2 linked regions of the Anolis sagrei genome follow. The protein of the gene in region 1 binds, or shares a complex with, the protein of each later gene. Links are inferred from orthologs where the notes say so. Each region holds a gene or a part of one and is shown on either strand. Other genes may lie near its edges.

Region 1 (7,798 bases):
AGTTTGATTTGTATGTAAGTCAGAACAGGTACATTTTTAAGTGTAACTCCAGCCAAGAATATATAATTTTGATCTTTGGGTGGCATAGGTAATGGTTAACACCCCTGTGGAGTTTGTTTTGCTGTCTGTGCTCCCGTTCAGAAGATTTCATCTCAATTCCTGTCCCTGTACTACTTCCCGGCAGATGTCAGGTGGTACAATACCAGCTAAATAGTATAATTTGTCCAGTAGTGTAGGGCGTAGACATCCTGTGATAATACAACATGTCTCATTAGGAGCCACATTCACTGTTTTAATGTGGTGTGATGTATTCCACACTGGGCATGCCTACTCAGCAGCAAGGTAGCAAAGCCCAAGGGCAGATGTCTTCACTATATCTAGTTGTGATCCCCAGGTTGTGCCAGTCAGCTGTCATGTGATATTATTTCTAGCACCCACTTTTTGCTAGATAATCAAGCAGTGCTTCTTGTAAATCAGAGCATAGTCCAGGATAACTCCCAGGTATTTTGGTGTGCTGCAATGCTCCAGTGGAATTTCTTCCCAGGTAATCCTCAAAGCTTGAGATACTTGTCTGTTCTTAAGATGAAAAGCACATGTCTGTGTTTTAGAAGGACCACTATGTAAATATCTATATAAATAAAAATGTAATGTTCGTTTGTGGGATTTTATTTTTTGTGTCAGGGCAGCCAGTCAATTATATTACATTTCTAACAGAACAAAGCAAACAAACAGAGAAAATACAAAATGTGTGAGTTTGGTAGTTGATTAAATGTCCTTTGACCAGTATCTGGCTACTTGGAGTGCTTCTGGTGTTGCTGCAAGAAGGTCCTCCATTGTGCATGTGGCGGGGCTCAGGTTGCATTGCAGCAGGTGGTCTGTGGTTTGCTCCTCTCCGCACTCGCATGTCGAGGATTCCACTTTGTAGCCCCATTTCTGAAGGTTGGCTCTGCATCTCGTGGTGCCAGAGCGCAGTCTGTTCAGTGCCTTCCAAGTCGCCCAGTCCTCTGTGTGCCCAGGGGGGAGTCTCTCATTTGGTATCAGCCATTGGTTGAGGTTCTGGATTTGAGCCTGCCACTTTTGGACTCTTGCTTGCTGAGGCGTTCCAGCGAGTGTCTCTGTAGATCTTAGAAAACTATGTCTGGATTTAAGTCGTTGACGTGCTGGCTGATACCCAAACGGGATGTCTCTGCCTTGGTCCTTTCACTATTGGCTGCAACTTCCCGGCGGATGTTAGGTGGTGCGATACTGGCTAGGCAGTGTAATTTCTCCAGTGGTGCAGGGCGCAGACACCCCGTGATAAATCGGCATGTCTCATTAAGAGCCACATCCACTGTTTTAGTGTGGTGAGATGTGTTCCACACTGGGCATGCATACTCAGCAGCGGAGTAGCACAGATTAACTGGGCTCTACAGGCCAATGGATACTCCACCTCAGACATCAGAAGAGCTGCAAAACCGAGAACAAACCACGAGAGTAAAGATGAAGATCCAGAGGAAAAGTGTTTTTGCCATACATCAAGGGAACCACTGACCGCATAGGGAAACTGATGAGGAAACACAACATACAAACCACTTAAAGAACCCACCAAGAAAATCCAACAAATGCTACGTTCAGCAAAGGACAAGAGGGATCCACTCACCTCTGCAGGAGTCTACCGTGTACCATGCAGCTGTGGACAAGTCAACATAGGGACCACCAAACGCAGCATTGCCCAGACACGCATCAAGGAACGTGAAAGGCACTGCAAACTACTCCAACCAGAGAAATCAGCCATAGCAGAGCACCTGATGAACCAACCTGGACACAGCATATTATTTGAGAACACAGAAGTGCTGGACCACTCTCACAACCACCATGTCAGACTACACAGAGAAGCCATTGAAATCCACAAGCATGTGGACAATTTCAACAGAAAGGAAGAAACCATGAAAATGAACAAAATCTGGCTACCAGTATTAAAAAACTCAAAAATTACAGCAGCAAAACAACAGAGGGGAAACAAACAGGCACATGAAATCACTCTCAACAAAAGATTCCCCCCAGGCGCTTCCAAGCCATTGAATGCAAATCAAGGTGATCAGCTGAAACATTCACATCTAGGCCCAGCAGACAAAAGTCCTTTGCCTCACCCTGGTCATTCCACAGATATATAAACCCATTTTTCCTACTTCCAACAGACCTCACTACCTCTGAGGATGCTTGCCATAGATGCAGGCGAAACGTCAGGAGAAAAAAAATTGCCTCCAGAACATGGCCATATAGCCCGGAAAAACCTACAACAACCCATGGATTCCGGCCATGAAAGCCTTCGACAATGCATATTATTATATTACAATGTTATAATATATAATCAAAAATATCTGCTTTGACTGGGTTATCTGATTCCACGCTGCCATATAACCCAGCTCAACGTGGATTTGATACAGCTGTGTGAAAGGAAGAGGGCCAAAGAGGGCAGGCGCCTCCCCAAACTACAACTCCCAGGATCCCAGAGCCTGGGCAGTCTCCAACCTACCGCGTTTAGATGTCTCTCTCTCCAGGAAAGCAGCCTATATTGAGGGGAGGGGGGTGAAGGCCTTCTTGGGCCCCGATTCTACAGGCCTGGGAGGGAGGGCGGGAAGGAAGGGGTGGGGAGCCGAGCGGCGTCGGGCTCCACCTTCCGCCACAGAGCGCAGGAGAGAAGAGAAGCGCGGGCCTCTTTCCTCTGCGGCTGGAGGATGGAGCGCTCGGAGGCCTACTGCTTCTCGGCGGCCTTCAGCGGCGCCTTCCTGGCCTCCTGCTTGCTCTTCTCGGCCCTCAGCCGCCAGCAGCGCGCGCCCTACATGGACGAGGCCTTCCACGTCGCCCAGGCCCGGGCCTACTGCGAGGGGCGCTTCCAGCAGGTAGGAAGGGAAAGACGGAGGGAGGAAAGAGGCCTAGCTCACCCTCAGCCGCCTCCTCGCGTGCCCTCGCCTGCCTAGGCTAGGAGTCATTTCGTGACCTCTCCTAAGCCAGGCTTGGGCCCTCCAGGTATTTTGGACTTCAACTCCCACAATTCCTAACAGCCTACCGGCTGTTAGGAATTGTGGGAGTTGAAGTCCAAAATACCTGGAGGGCCCAAGCTCGCCCATGCCTGGCTTATAAGACTTTTTGTTAATCAAGACAGGTTCTGTAGGGTTGTTCTAAAGTTGAATTTGTTTGTAAGTCGGAACAGGTACATTTAAAAGTGTAACTCCAGCCAGATAGATGATAGGTACAGAGCAGGCACGAGCAAACTTCGGCCCTCTGGGCCTTTTGGACTTTTACTGAAATGAAAAATGGGTTCCCTTAAAACTGTGGAGACCAAAATCCACTGATTGTGGTAATGCAAAAGTATCTAAATTAACTCAATGTATATATCACAAATACACATATCAACAAAACACAGAGCTGCCACATTCACATTAAGCAGAAACAATTGGTTCTTCTCTTCAAGTATGAAACAAAATATGTGAGTAAGAATAGTCCTTGAATGACCATAAATGTCCTATTTATTGCACACGAGTAGACTCCAGTAGTCACAATAGGTGTCCTATTCCCTTCGTTACACACAAATCGACACCAACCTGCAACCAGTTTTGACTCACAAGAGCCTTTGTCAGGCGGTTGGGTTCATTTATTGAAAAAGGCTCATCTATCAAAAGAAGAGGAGCCCCTGGTGGCGCAGTGGGTTAAAGCACTGAGCTGCTGAGCTTGTTGATCGAAAGGTCGCAGGTTCGATTCCTGGGAGCGGCGTGAGCTTCCGCTGTCAGCCCTAGCTTCTGCCAACCTAGCAGTTAGAAAACATGCAAATGTGAATAGATCAATAGGTACCGCTCCGGCGGGAAGGTAACGGCGCTCCATGCAGTCATGCTGGCCACATGACCTTGAAGGTGTCTACGGACAACGCTGGCTCTTCGGCTTAGAAATGGAGATGAGCCCCACACCCCAGAGTCAGACATGTCTGGACTTAATGTCAGGGGACTACCTTTATCTTTACTATCAAAAGAAGGGCTCAATTTTTGAGGTAAGTGGTTCACCAACAATGTTCTCGAGAGATGGATCAGCTAGTCTTTGTTGGTCAGTATACTCTGCAAAGCGTTTTATTCTGTAGCGAGTATAGGTTTCCTTTTGAACTTCTACTCTTCTACCAAAGAGCAAACAACAGACCACCTACTACAATGCAACCAGAGTCCTGTGACATGCACAATGGAGGGCCTTCATACGGCGACACCAGAAGCACTCTAAGTGACCAGCTTCTAGTCAAAAGAAATTTGGCATACCAATTTTGTCAAACAAGAGTGAGCCGAAGATCCAGTTATTCTTGTTGCTTGAAGAAGTTCAGGCCCTCAGCTTGTCCTGAAACCCCACCCCATAATTCCCCCTTATCAGATGTGAATACATTGCCTCCAGTACAGGTAGAGTGATGTCTTTTTCTTTTATAATCTTACATGCCACCAATGTAACATATTTAGGCGATCCCTCGTTGGCCGGATAGGATAGTCCTCCAGGATCAGTATTCTGGTGGGTCCGTAGGTGACTGTGGAGCCCTATTCTTGATCTGCATCTTCTCCTGCAGTGAGGGCATTGGTTTCCAGGTGGAAGGTGGTCCCGGTTGGGATTGGCTTGACGCGCCTTCCACTTGGCACATTTCTCTCTTTCGCCCTCCATTCGTGCCTCTTCAAATTTTGCAGCACTGCTGGTCACAGCTGACCTCCAGCTGGAGTGCTCAAGGGCCATAAACTCTATGTCAGAGTTTTTAAGGTTGGCTTTGAGCCCATCTTTAAATCTCTTTTCCTGTCCACCAACATTCTGTTTTTCGTTCTTGAGTTCGGAGTAGAGCAACTGCTTTGGGAGACAGTGGTCGGGCATCTGGACAACGTGGCCGGTCCAGCGGAGTTGATGGCGGAGTACCATCGCTTCAGTGCTGGTGGTCTTTGCTTCTTCCAGCACGCTGACGTCTTCCCAAGAGATTTGCAGGATTTTATGGAGGTAGCACTGATGGAATCGTTCCATGCGTTGCATGTGACGTCTGTAGATAGTCCATGTTTTGCAGGCATATAGCAGGGTTGGGAGGACAATAGCTTTATAAACAAGCTCCTTGGTATCCCTACGGATGTCCCGGTCCTCAAACACTCTTTGCTTCATTCGGAAAAATGCTGCACTCGCAGAGCTCAGGCGGTGTTGTATTTTGGTGTCGATGTTGACTTTGGTGGAGAGATGGCTGCCAAGGTACCGGAAATGGTCAACGTTTTCTAATGTTATACCATTAAGCTGTATCTACATTAAGCTGTACCTGTGTAACATACCTTTAAGCTCAATCCACAGTGAAATTGCAGTTTCCACTGCATTACAGTGATCTTATTAGCCCAACCTGAAGGATTCCAATTCTAATCTCTTTAAACCAATGCCTCTCAACCTTTCATCCTCAAGATGTTTTGGACTTCATCTTCCAGAAGCTGTACTCATGGGCCATGTTGGTGGAGGCATCTGGGAATTGAAGTAGAAAACAGCTGGAGAATTAATGGTTGAGGTCTCCTGTTCTAAAGTATCCATTTCCCTGTTTCCCTTTTTCCTTATCCACTCTATTTATTGGCTGTCATATGGCAGGGTCTGGACACATCAAAGGAAAAGCACATTAACAGTGTAGTCCTTTGCATTTTTATTTTGTAGTAAACCTCATTGAGTACACTGGGACTTATTCTCGAATACATGATTGTGAGATTGTAATGCAAGATCAGAATCTTCTCCACTCAGAGTAAGTCCCTCTGAAACAATATAATGTATATCGGATCCAGTATGAGTCATTGAGAAAAAAATCCTCATTTCAATAATAATTTGTTAGCAAAGAAGCATATGCATCTCCAAATGTCAAAGAGAATGTGGGCTATATACCATACTTCTTTTAAAAGGAACATGACATTTCACGGAAAACTCATTTTGAACTATCGTTCCCATCCCAAAAGGGTATGCAGCTGTTTTAACTGAGTAAGAGTGGCAACTGCCCTAGCTTCCCTAACTTCCCTTCTCTCTTGTTAGCAGGTTGTTGAATGTGGAGGAACAGAACAGTAATAGAGATGAGGAGAAATCAAAGAGATTAACTGCAGCTCACCCCAAATAACTTCATACAAGACAATTATTAAACTGGGAGTTACTTAAAAATACCAGTACACATCACTCTTCTAAAAGACTGCAAACATTTCCCTTCCATATGAACTGACTAGCCATCCCCTGCCACACGTTGCTGTGACCCCGTCTGTTGATCTGGAAAATAAAGTAATGAGAAAGTGTTGATTTCTAATATATATAATGTCTTTATGCTTGTGGGTAAACAGTATTTCTTGCTGTTTCTTTGTCAGTGTTGATGTGGAGATTGCCTGGTTTGCCCACTCTGGAACAAGCAACATATAATTGTTCTTCTTTAGGGGTCCCTTTCAAATCTATGATACTATATCTCTCTCTGTCTGTGAATCATCTATATCTAAGGCTGGGTGGCTCTTTGACAGGAGGGCTTTGATTACGTTTTCTTGCCCTGGTGAAGGGAGTTGGACTGGATGGCTTTAAGCATTTTCTGTTGGTCATGGGGGTTCTGTGTGGGAAGTTTGCCCCAATTTTGTCATTTGTGAGGTTCAGAATGCTCTTTGATTGTCGGTGAACTATAAATCCCAACAACTGCAACTCCCAAATGTCAAGGTCTATTTCCCCCAAACTCCATCTGTGTTCATATTTGGGCATTTGGAATATTCGTGCCAAGTTTGGTCCTGATCCATCATTGTTTGAGTCCACAGTGCTCTCTGGATGTAGGCAAACTACAACTCCCAAACTCAAGGTCAATGCCCACCAAACCCTTCTAGTGTTTTCTGTTAGTCATTAGAGTCCTGTATGCCACGTTTGGTTCAATTCTATCATTGGTGAAGTCCAGAATGCTCGTTGATTGTAATTTAACTATAAATCCCAGTAACTAAACTCCCAAATGACAAAATCAAATTTTTTTGAGTGATGGTCACTCCTTAGGTTAGTAGGTATCTTGTGGCCAAATTTGGCGGCAATTCATCCAGTGGTTTTTGAGTTATGCTAATCCCACAAACGAACATTAAATTTTTATTTATATAGACTAGCCGTACCCTGCCACACGTTGCTGTGGCCCAGTCTGTGTATATGTGCTTTGTGTGTATTTTTTTTTTTGCTTTTTAAGTCATTTCCTCTGTGTTTTTCAGTATGTTTATGGGTGATGGTCATTCGTTGGCCTGATAGGTGTCTTGTGTCCAAATTTAGTGTCAATTTAGTGTCAACCCGAACATTACATTTTTATTTATATAGATGGATGAGTTGGGCATTCTGAAAGGATCCTTGCTACTTATGGAACTAAACAAAGAAACTACCCTCTCCATCCCATCCCAATCCCCATTTCCATGACACTCCTCTTTTTTTCAATTGTTTTCTTCTATGACTTGGCCTTCAGAAAAAAATCTCTTCCCTCTCTACTGTGTTTCCAAAGAGATACATAGATTAGCCTCCCTAACAACAAAGTCATGGTATGCATTTCCTCCAGTTCTGATGTTTCTTCTCCTGAAGCTGCAGATCTTTTGTTGAGTGTGACAAGATTACCCACTAAACAAATTCTAGCAATCTAATTCACTAAATTGTATTTCTAATCTCATTGTAATCTGAGGAATCTAGTCAGTTGGGTTAAACTCTAGAAAAACCTTGCTAAGCAATCACAAGTTAATTGGAAAATTCATTCCAAATCGTGAAGGAACTTGACATTCAGATGCAGCATTATTAAAAGCGAAGGGAAATT
Region 2 (7,171 bases), on another chromosome or scaffold:
AATACCACAAACAAACATTACATTTTTATTTATATAGACTAGCTAACCCCTGCCACGCGTTGCTGTGGCCCAGTCTCGTGATCTGGAAAATAAAGTAATGAGAAGGTGTTGGTTTCTAATATATGTAATTTCTTTATGCTTGTGGGTAAACAGTATTTTTTGTTTCTTTGTCAGTGTTCATATGGAGATTGTCTGGTTTGCCTACTCTGGAACACGCAACATATAATTGTTCTTCTTTAGAGGTCCCTTTCAAATCTATGATACTATACTTGTGTGTGTTACTCATATATATCTATCTATATCTATGGCTGGATGGCTCTTTGTCAGGAGGGCTTTGATTACGTTTTCTTGCCCTGGTGAAGGGAGTTGGACTCAATGGCCATGGGGGTTCTGTCTGGGAAGTTTGGCCCAATTCTCTAGTTGCTGGGGTTCAGAATGCTCTTTGATTGTAACTGAACTATACATCCCAGTAACTACAACTCCCAAATGCCAAGGTCTATTCCCCCCAAACTCCATCTGTGTTCATAATTGGGCATATTGAGTGCTTGTGCCAAGTTTGGTCCAGATCCACCATTGTTTGAGTCCACAGCGCTCTCTGGATGTAAGTGAACTGCAACTTCCAAACTCAAGGTCAATGCCCATCAAACCCTTCCAGTATTTTCTGTCAGTCATAGGAGTTCTGTGTGCCAAGTTCAATTCCATTGTTGGTGGAGTTCGGAATGCTCTTTGATTGTAAGTGAACTATAAATCCCAGCAACTACAACTCCCAAATGACAAAATTAATTTTTTTGAGTGATGGTCACTCCTTGGGCAATTTGTCCAGTGGTTTTTGAGTTATGTTAATCCCACAAACAAACATTACATTTTTATTTATATACTAGCTGTACCCGCCACTTTCTCTTCTTTCTTTCTCTCCTTCCCTCGCTCTTTCCTTCCTTCCCTTTTTTCTTTCTTTCTCTCCTTCCTTCTCTCCCTCTTTCCTTCCTTCCCCTCCCCTTTTCTTTCCCTTTTTTCTTCTCCTTTCTTCCTTCTCTACCTCTTTTCTTCCTTCTGTCTTTCCTTCTCTCCCTCTTTCTTTCCCTTTCCCTCCTTCCTTCCCTTATTTTCTTTCCTTCTCTCCTTTCTTTCTCCCCACCTTTTCTTTTCCTTCTCCTTCCTTCTTTCTTTCCCTCCCTCTTTCTTTCTTATTTTCTTTCTCCCCTTCCTTCCCTTTTTCTGTATTGTCATTTAGTTTTTCATCATTTAGCATTTTTGGGGTTTTAAAGTCCTTTCCACTGTTTTGGGGGGGGGGGATTTATGAGAGATGGATACTCGTTAGACTGTTAGGTGTCTTGTGTCCCAATTTGGTGTCAATTCCTCCAGTGTTTTTTGAGTTATGTTGATCCCACAAACGAACATTACATTTTTATTTATATAGATAGATAGATCTATAAAACATCTACTTCTGCTTCATTGACTATTCTAAAGCCTTTGACTGTGTGGATCATAATAAATTGTGGCAAGTTCTTGGTGGGATGGGCATACCAAGTCACCTTGTCTCTCTCCTGAGGAATCTGTACAAGGACCAAGTAGCAACAGTAAGAACTGACCACGGAACAACAGACTGGTTCAAGATTGGGAAAGGCGTACGGCAAGGATGCATACTCTCACCCAACCTTTTTAACTTGTATGCAGAACACATCATGCGATGTGCGGGGCTTGATGAATGCAAAGCTGGGGTGAAAATTGCTGGAAGAAACATTAACAACCTCAGATATGCAGATGACACCACTCTGATGGCCAAAAGCGAGGAGGAGCTGAGGAGCCTTCTAATCAAGGTGAAAGAAGAAAGCGCAAAAGCTGGGTTGCAGCTAAACATCAAAAAAACCAAGATTATGGCAACAAGAATGATTGACAACTGGAAAATAGAGGAAGAAATTGTGGAGGCCGTGACAGACTTTGTATTTCTAGTTGCAAAGATTACTGCAGATGCAGACTGTGGCCAGGAAATCAGAAGACGCTTACTTCTTGGGAGGAGAGCAATGTCCAGTCTCGATAAAATAGTAAAGAGTAGAGACATCACACTGGCAACAAAGATCCGCCTAGTCAAAGCCATGGTATTCCCTGTAGTAACCTACGGATGTGAGAGCTGGACCTTAGGGAAGGCTGAGCGAAGGAAGATCGATGCTTTTGAGCTGTGGTGTTGGAGGAAAGTGCTGAGAGTGCCTTGGACTGCGAGAAGATCCAACCAGTGCATCCTCCAGGAAATAAAGGCCGACTGCTCACTGGAGGGAAAGATACTAGAGACAAAGTTGAAGTACTTTGGCCACATCATGAGGAGACAGCAAAGCCTAGAGAAGACAATTATGCTGGGGAAAGTGGAAGGCAAAAGGAAGAGGGGCCGACCAAGGGCAAGATGGATGGATGGCATCCTTGAAGTGACTGGACTGACTTTGAAGGAGCTGGGGGTGGTGACGGCCGACAGGGAGCTCTGGCGTGCACTGGTCCATGTGGTCACGAAGAGTCGGAGACGACTGAACGAATGAACAACAACAGATAGAAGATAAGAAGAAAGATGGCATATATGGTCAAGCCGCTTAAGCGGCTGAGGGGGAAAAGGAAGGGGCCCGAGGCTGATAGGAATTGTGGGAGTTGGAGTCCAAAACCCCTGGAGGGCCGAGGTTTGACCATGCCTGGTGTAGATGCTCCCTGCACATAGGCGGGCCCTCTGCCAAGGCCTGCGGGGCCCTCACCTGCACCCGCGCCCGGCTCTCCGCCGGCGCGGCTCTCCTGCTCGACCAGTGGGCCGAGGAGGGCGCTGACTTGCTCCCGAAGGCGTGCCAAGCCCCCGAGGAGGCCCCGCAGCTCCCCCGGAGGCTCGCAAGAGACCCGCAGCGGTCGCTTCTCCCCTCCGCGGCCTGTCAGCTCCGCCCGCAGCTCCATCTCGCCCTTCCCGACGTGGCTAGGCAACCAATCTCCTCACCGCTTTGAACCGGAAGCAGAACTTTCTCGGAGAGAGGAAACCCAAGTCGTCCTCCTTTGGCCACACCCACCAGCGTGACGTCAGAGCCCCGCCCAGTCTCTTCCCTAGCTGTTGTGCGTTGTTTTCTCCAGCCTCGCCTCCTTCTAGCTCTGATTGATTCCGATTGGCTCAGTGGTCTCACGTGATTCTGCTCCCTTTTCTTTCCCTCTTATGATCTCAACATCACAGTCTGCATAGTTAACATTTCGCCGTCTTTAGAGGCTCTGATTGGCTCTCGCAGATCTGCCCGGCCCTGATTGGCCCTTCGCGGCTCACGTGATTCCGCACCCAAGTGCTCAGCTTTCCTCCGTCCTCTAGCTTTGATTGGCTCCCGCGTGACACGTGACACATCCCTTTTCCTTTTTTTTGGTCTCTCCCCTCTTGAGATCCGTGAGCGTCGCGGCAACTTTCGTTTCCGCTTCCGGTGGTTGGGGCGTTTTCCCGCCTTTTTTTCCCCCCTTCTCTTCCTGCTTGTCTTAGTATTGTTTCTGTCAGCAAGATGGAGAAGGAGGCGCCGGCAGCTGCGGCTTCGAACTCCGGCAAAGGCGAGGAAGGGGACGACAGGCCCAAGGAGAGCGCCGCCGCTGCCGAGGAGGGAGAAGAGCGGAGCGGCGAGGAGCCCGTGGTGTCGCTGGCCGAGGTGCTGGCCGAGAGCGAGCAGCTCGAGCAGGAGGCGCGCGCCGTGCTGGGAGGCAGCGACCACGAGAGGTGCAGCTACTCCCAGGTGAGGAGGAGGCCTCTCAGGGGCAGGCAGGGGGAAACCGCCCATGTTAGTGTGGTCTGCGGTGCTTTCCTCTATTTCCCCCTCCTTTTCTTCCCTGCTTTCCCTCCCACACCTTTCCCCCTCATCTTCCTTTCTCTTTCTTTTCTTTCCTTCTGTCTCCTCAGTACCATTCCCCCCTTTTTGTCTCCTTTTCCACCCCCCATGTTGCTCCACCTCCACTGCTGCACTCGGACCCTGAAGCCTCTTTCCACCACAAACCAACTTGATAACAGCACCTGTGCAGGTACAGCTGTACCAGGAGCTCCAATGTTGTTTGCTTTGCATTCAATGTTTGTTTGCAATCCCAGGCTTAGGATTTTGCAGCATTCCTATTACAGTTTGCAATCATAGGGCAAGCCACCTGTCAATTATAGTTAGGTTCCCTGGTCCCGCCCCCTTTTTAGGTTTTGGAGGGAATAGGAGCCAGTTTGAGTTCAGGACATATGCTGGACATAATACCATAGTGTAATGTTGTTGTTCTTATTGCTTATGTTTTTAATTTGCTTGTCTTATATTGTTATTGTCTGTTGTTGTTTGAGGCCTTGGCCTTTGTAAGCCGCATCGAGTCCTTCGGGAGATGCTAGCAGAGTACAAATAAAGTTTAATAATAATAATAATAATGGAGCCCCCCGTGGCGCAGTGGGTTAAAGCACTGAGCTGCTGAGCTTGTTGATCGAAAGGTCACAGGTTCGATTCCGGGGAGCGGCGTGAGCTTCCGCTGTCAGCCCTAGCTTCTGCCAACCTAGCAGTTCGAAAACATGCAAATGTGAGTAGATCAATAGGTACCGCTCCGGCGGGAAGGTAACGGCGCTCCATGCAGTCATGCCGGCCACATGACCTTGGAGGTGTCTACGGACAACGCTGACTCTTCGGCTTAGAAATGGAGATGAGCACCACACCCCAGAGTCAGACATGACTGGACTTAATGTCAGGGGACTACCTTTACCTTTAATAATAATAATAATACCAAGAGCTCCTGTAGAAAGCTTCGTCTTCTACAGCTTGGCTGGGGTTATACAGCCCACAGCTTGGCCGAGGATCATACAGCCTTACAGCTCCTTTGCTGGGGGACTTCAGCCAGCCATCACCGAAACCTGAACTCTTTTTTCCCTGGAAGTCTACAAAGCTCTGCTTGGTAAGGGTCACTCACAGAAGCCAGACGCAGTTGGTACCAGGTGTAGGGGCTCCATGCCAACAGAGGTAAAGACAGATTGCCCAGATTAGAAGTTAAGGATTTCCCCATTAGTTAAAATACCAGTCATGAAGATAGTGCCTGTTCCCTGTGGACAAGATTGAAAGAGCCTATAGACTAGGGGTCCACAAACTTTTTAAACAGAGGGCCAGGTCACAGTCCCTCAAACTGTTGGAGGGCTGGATTACAATTTGGAAAAAAAAAACATGAATGAATTCCTATGCACGCTGCACATATCTTATTTTAGTAAGATATGTGCAGATATGTATAGTAAGATATGTGCAGTGCAAAAAACACTTAAAATCAATACAATAATTAAAATGAGGAACAATGTTAACAAATATAAACTTATTAGTATTTCAATGGGAAATGTGGGCCTGCTTTTGGCTGATGAGATAGGATTGTTATGTGCTTTCAAGTAGTTTCAGACTTAGATTGACCCTGAGTGAGGGCCGGGTAAATGACCTTGGAGGGCCGCATCCAGCCCCCGGGCCTTAGTTTGAGGACCCCTGCTATAGACTGTTAAGAAAGCCTTGAAATACCTGTTTGTTTTCATAAATAAAGAACTTTGTTGAACCTTTAAGTACTCTAGAGACTCTGTTTAAGGAAATCCAAAGGCCTTTAATCTGAGGCAGCCCCGGCGTCCTATTGGGCACACAGAATTTATGTCCTGTCTACTGTCTTATGCACAGGCCCAGCGTGCGACAGCATAGCACCTGTCCGAACGCATCTCCCCCAATGAACCATAGCGGAGGTGATGATCTAATGGGGAGGCCCTGCTCGCGGTCCCGCAACCATCACAGGCAAACATTAAATGCTGCAAGGTGCTGGACAAAGAAGTAAATAACCAAAACGACCCAAGTCTCACAAAAAATAAAATCAACATTCACATTTTTAAAAAAATATATAAACATTTATTACGGTCAATGACCAGCATAAAAAAAGTACAAGTGACAGGGTGTGTAAGTGTCAGAGTACGCACACATGTACAAGCACAAGTACAGAAGTATACAAGCATCAGGTTACACACACATCCGGATATCAGGAAACAATGTTAAAACAGAGTTTAAAACCCAATATTAAATAAGGTAATTAAAATGGTGTTAAATGTTTAAATACTAAAACATTCACATTAAAATAATAAAGATGTTACTAAAATTGAGGGATAATAACAAAATTATGAATTCACAGGTACCTTTCCCCCAATTTTGACCCCTTCTCTCTCACTTCTTCCTCCCTTCCTTTCCCTCATACAGGTGTCACGTATCAGCAGCCAATATCAAAATTATCAAAATGTACCAAAACACTTCAGTACCGGCTTGGAAAATTGCATTTTATAGCAAAAGAAAGCCCATCCTCAACACATTCTTTTTGGTTCCTGTGCAATTTGTTCAGATAGATTTGGCACCTTTTGGGGGGGGGGGAAATCCCTACTGGAGATCTCATTGGCTTTTGATACCATTGACCATAGTATCCTTCTGGTTCGTCTTGCTAGTATGGGAATTGGAGGCACTGTTTTACAGTGGCTCCGTCCTTCCTGGAGGGCCATACCCAGAAAGTGGTGCTGGTGGACTCCTGGCCGTTGACCTTTGGGGTTTCTCAGGCTCAGGGTTGTTCCTCATGCTATTCAACATATACATGAAGTTAATGGGAGAAGTAATCAGGACTTTTGGAGTATGGTACCAGCTGTATGCCTATGACACCCAACTCTACTACTCCTTTCCACCTAAAGGGAAGGAAGCTGTCCTGACCCTAAACCAGTGCCTGTTATTAGTAATGGACTGGATGAGGACAAACAAATTGAAACTTAATCTAGACAAGACAGAGGTACTCCTGGTCAGTTGGAAGGCAGACCAGGAATAGGGATCCAACCTGTGCTGCATGGGGTTACACTCCCCCTGAAGAAATAGGTCCGCAGTTTGAGGACCCTACTGTACTCAGTGCTGAACCTGGAAGCAGGTATCTGCAGAGGCTAGGAGGGCCTTTGCACAATTAAAGTTTGTGTGCCAACTTTAATTGTGACAAACAATTAAAGTTTGTCTGCCGTCGCGCTTTCGAAGAATAGCCACATAATTTTATGCTAGTGCTCCTCCAATGTTCTTGTCCCAGGAGTCCCCCGCCCCCCCCCCATCCCACACACACACACACACACACACACAAACACACATGAAGATTGGCTTAATTTCCTCTCTCTCTATGAGTTCTCCCTTACGAT

What was found. The genes of interacting proteins can lie anywhere in the genome.
Region 2: TPRKB (region 1) and GON7 share a complex: the UniProt entries of both Homo sapiens proteins name them as parts of the EKC/KEOPS complex. The link is inferred for Anolis sagrei from reciprocal best matches to the Homo sapiens genes TPRKB and GON7.

The regions. Positions count from the first base shown.
Region 1 is NC_090025.1:80,866,151-80,873,948, forward strand, and holds the start of TPRKB (EKC/KEOPS complex subunit TPRKB), read right to left. Parts: upstream 3,004-7,798; 5' UTR 2,973-3,003; coding exon 2,925-2,972; intron 2,883-2,924; coding exon of another isoform or gene 2,718-2,882; exon of another isoform or gene 2,516-2,717; intron 1-2,515. Other genes in the region: ALG10 (dol-P-Glc:Glc(2)Man(9)GlcNAc(2)-PP-Dol alpha-1,2-glucosyltransferase), read left to right, coding at 2,718-2,882. UniProt on the Homo sapiens protein: Component of the EKC/KEOPS complex that is required for the formation of a threonylcarbamoyl group on adenosine at position 37 (t(6)A37) in tRNAs that read codons beginning with adenine.
Region 2 is NC_090021.1:316,706,491-316,713,661, forward strand, and holds the start of GON7 (EKC/KEOPS complex subunit GON7), read right to left. Parts: upstream 3,018-7,171; 5' UTR 2,923-3,017; coding exon 2,733-2,922; intron 1-2,732. Other genes in the region: putative E3 ubiquitin-protein ligase UBR7, read left to right, coding at 3,501-3,725. UniProt on the Homo sapiens protein: Component of the EKC/KEOPS complex that is required for the formation of a threonylcarbamoyl group on adenosine at position 37 (t(6)A37) in tRNAs that read codons beginning with adenine.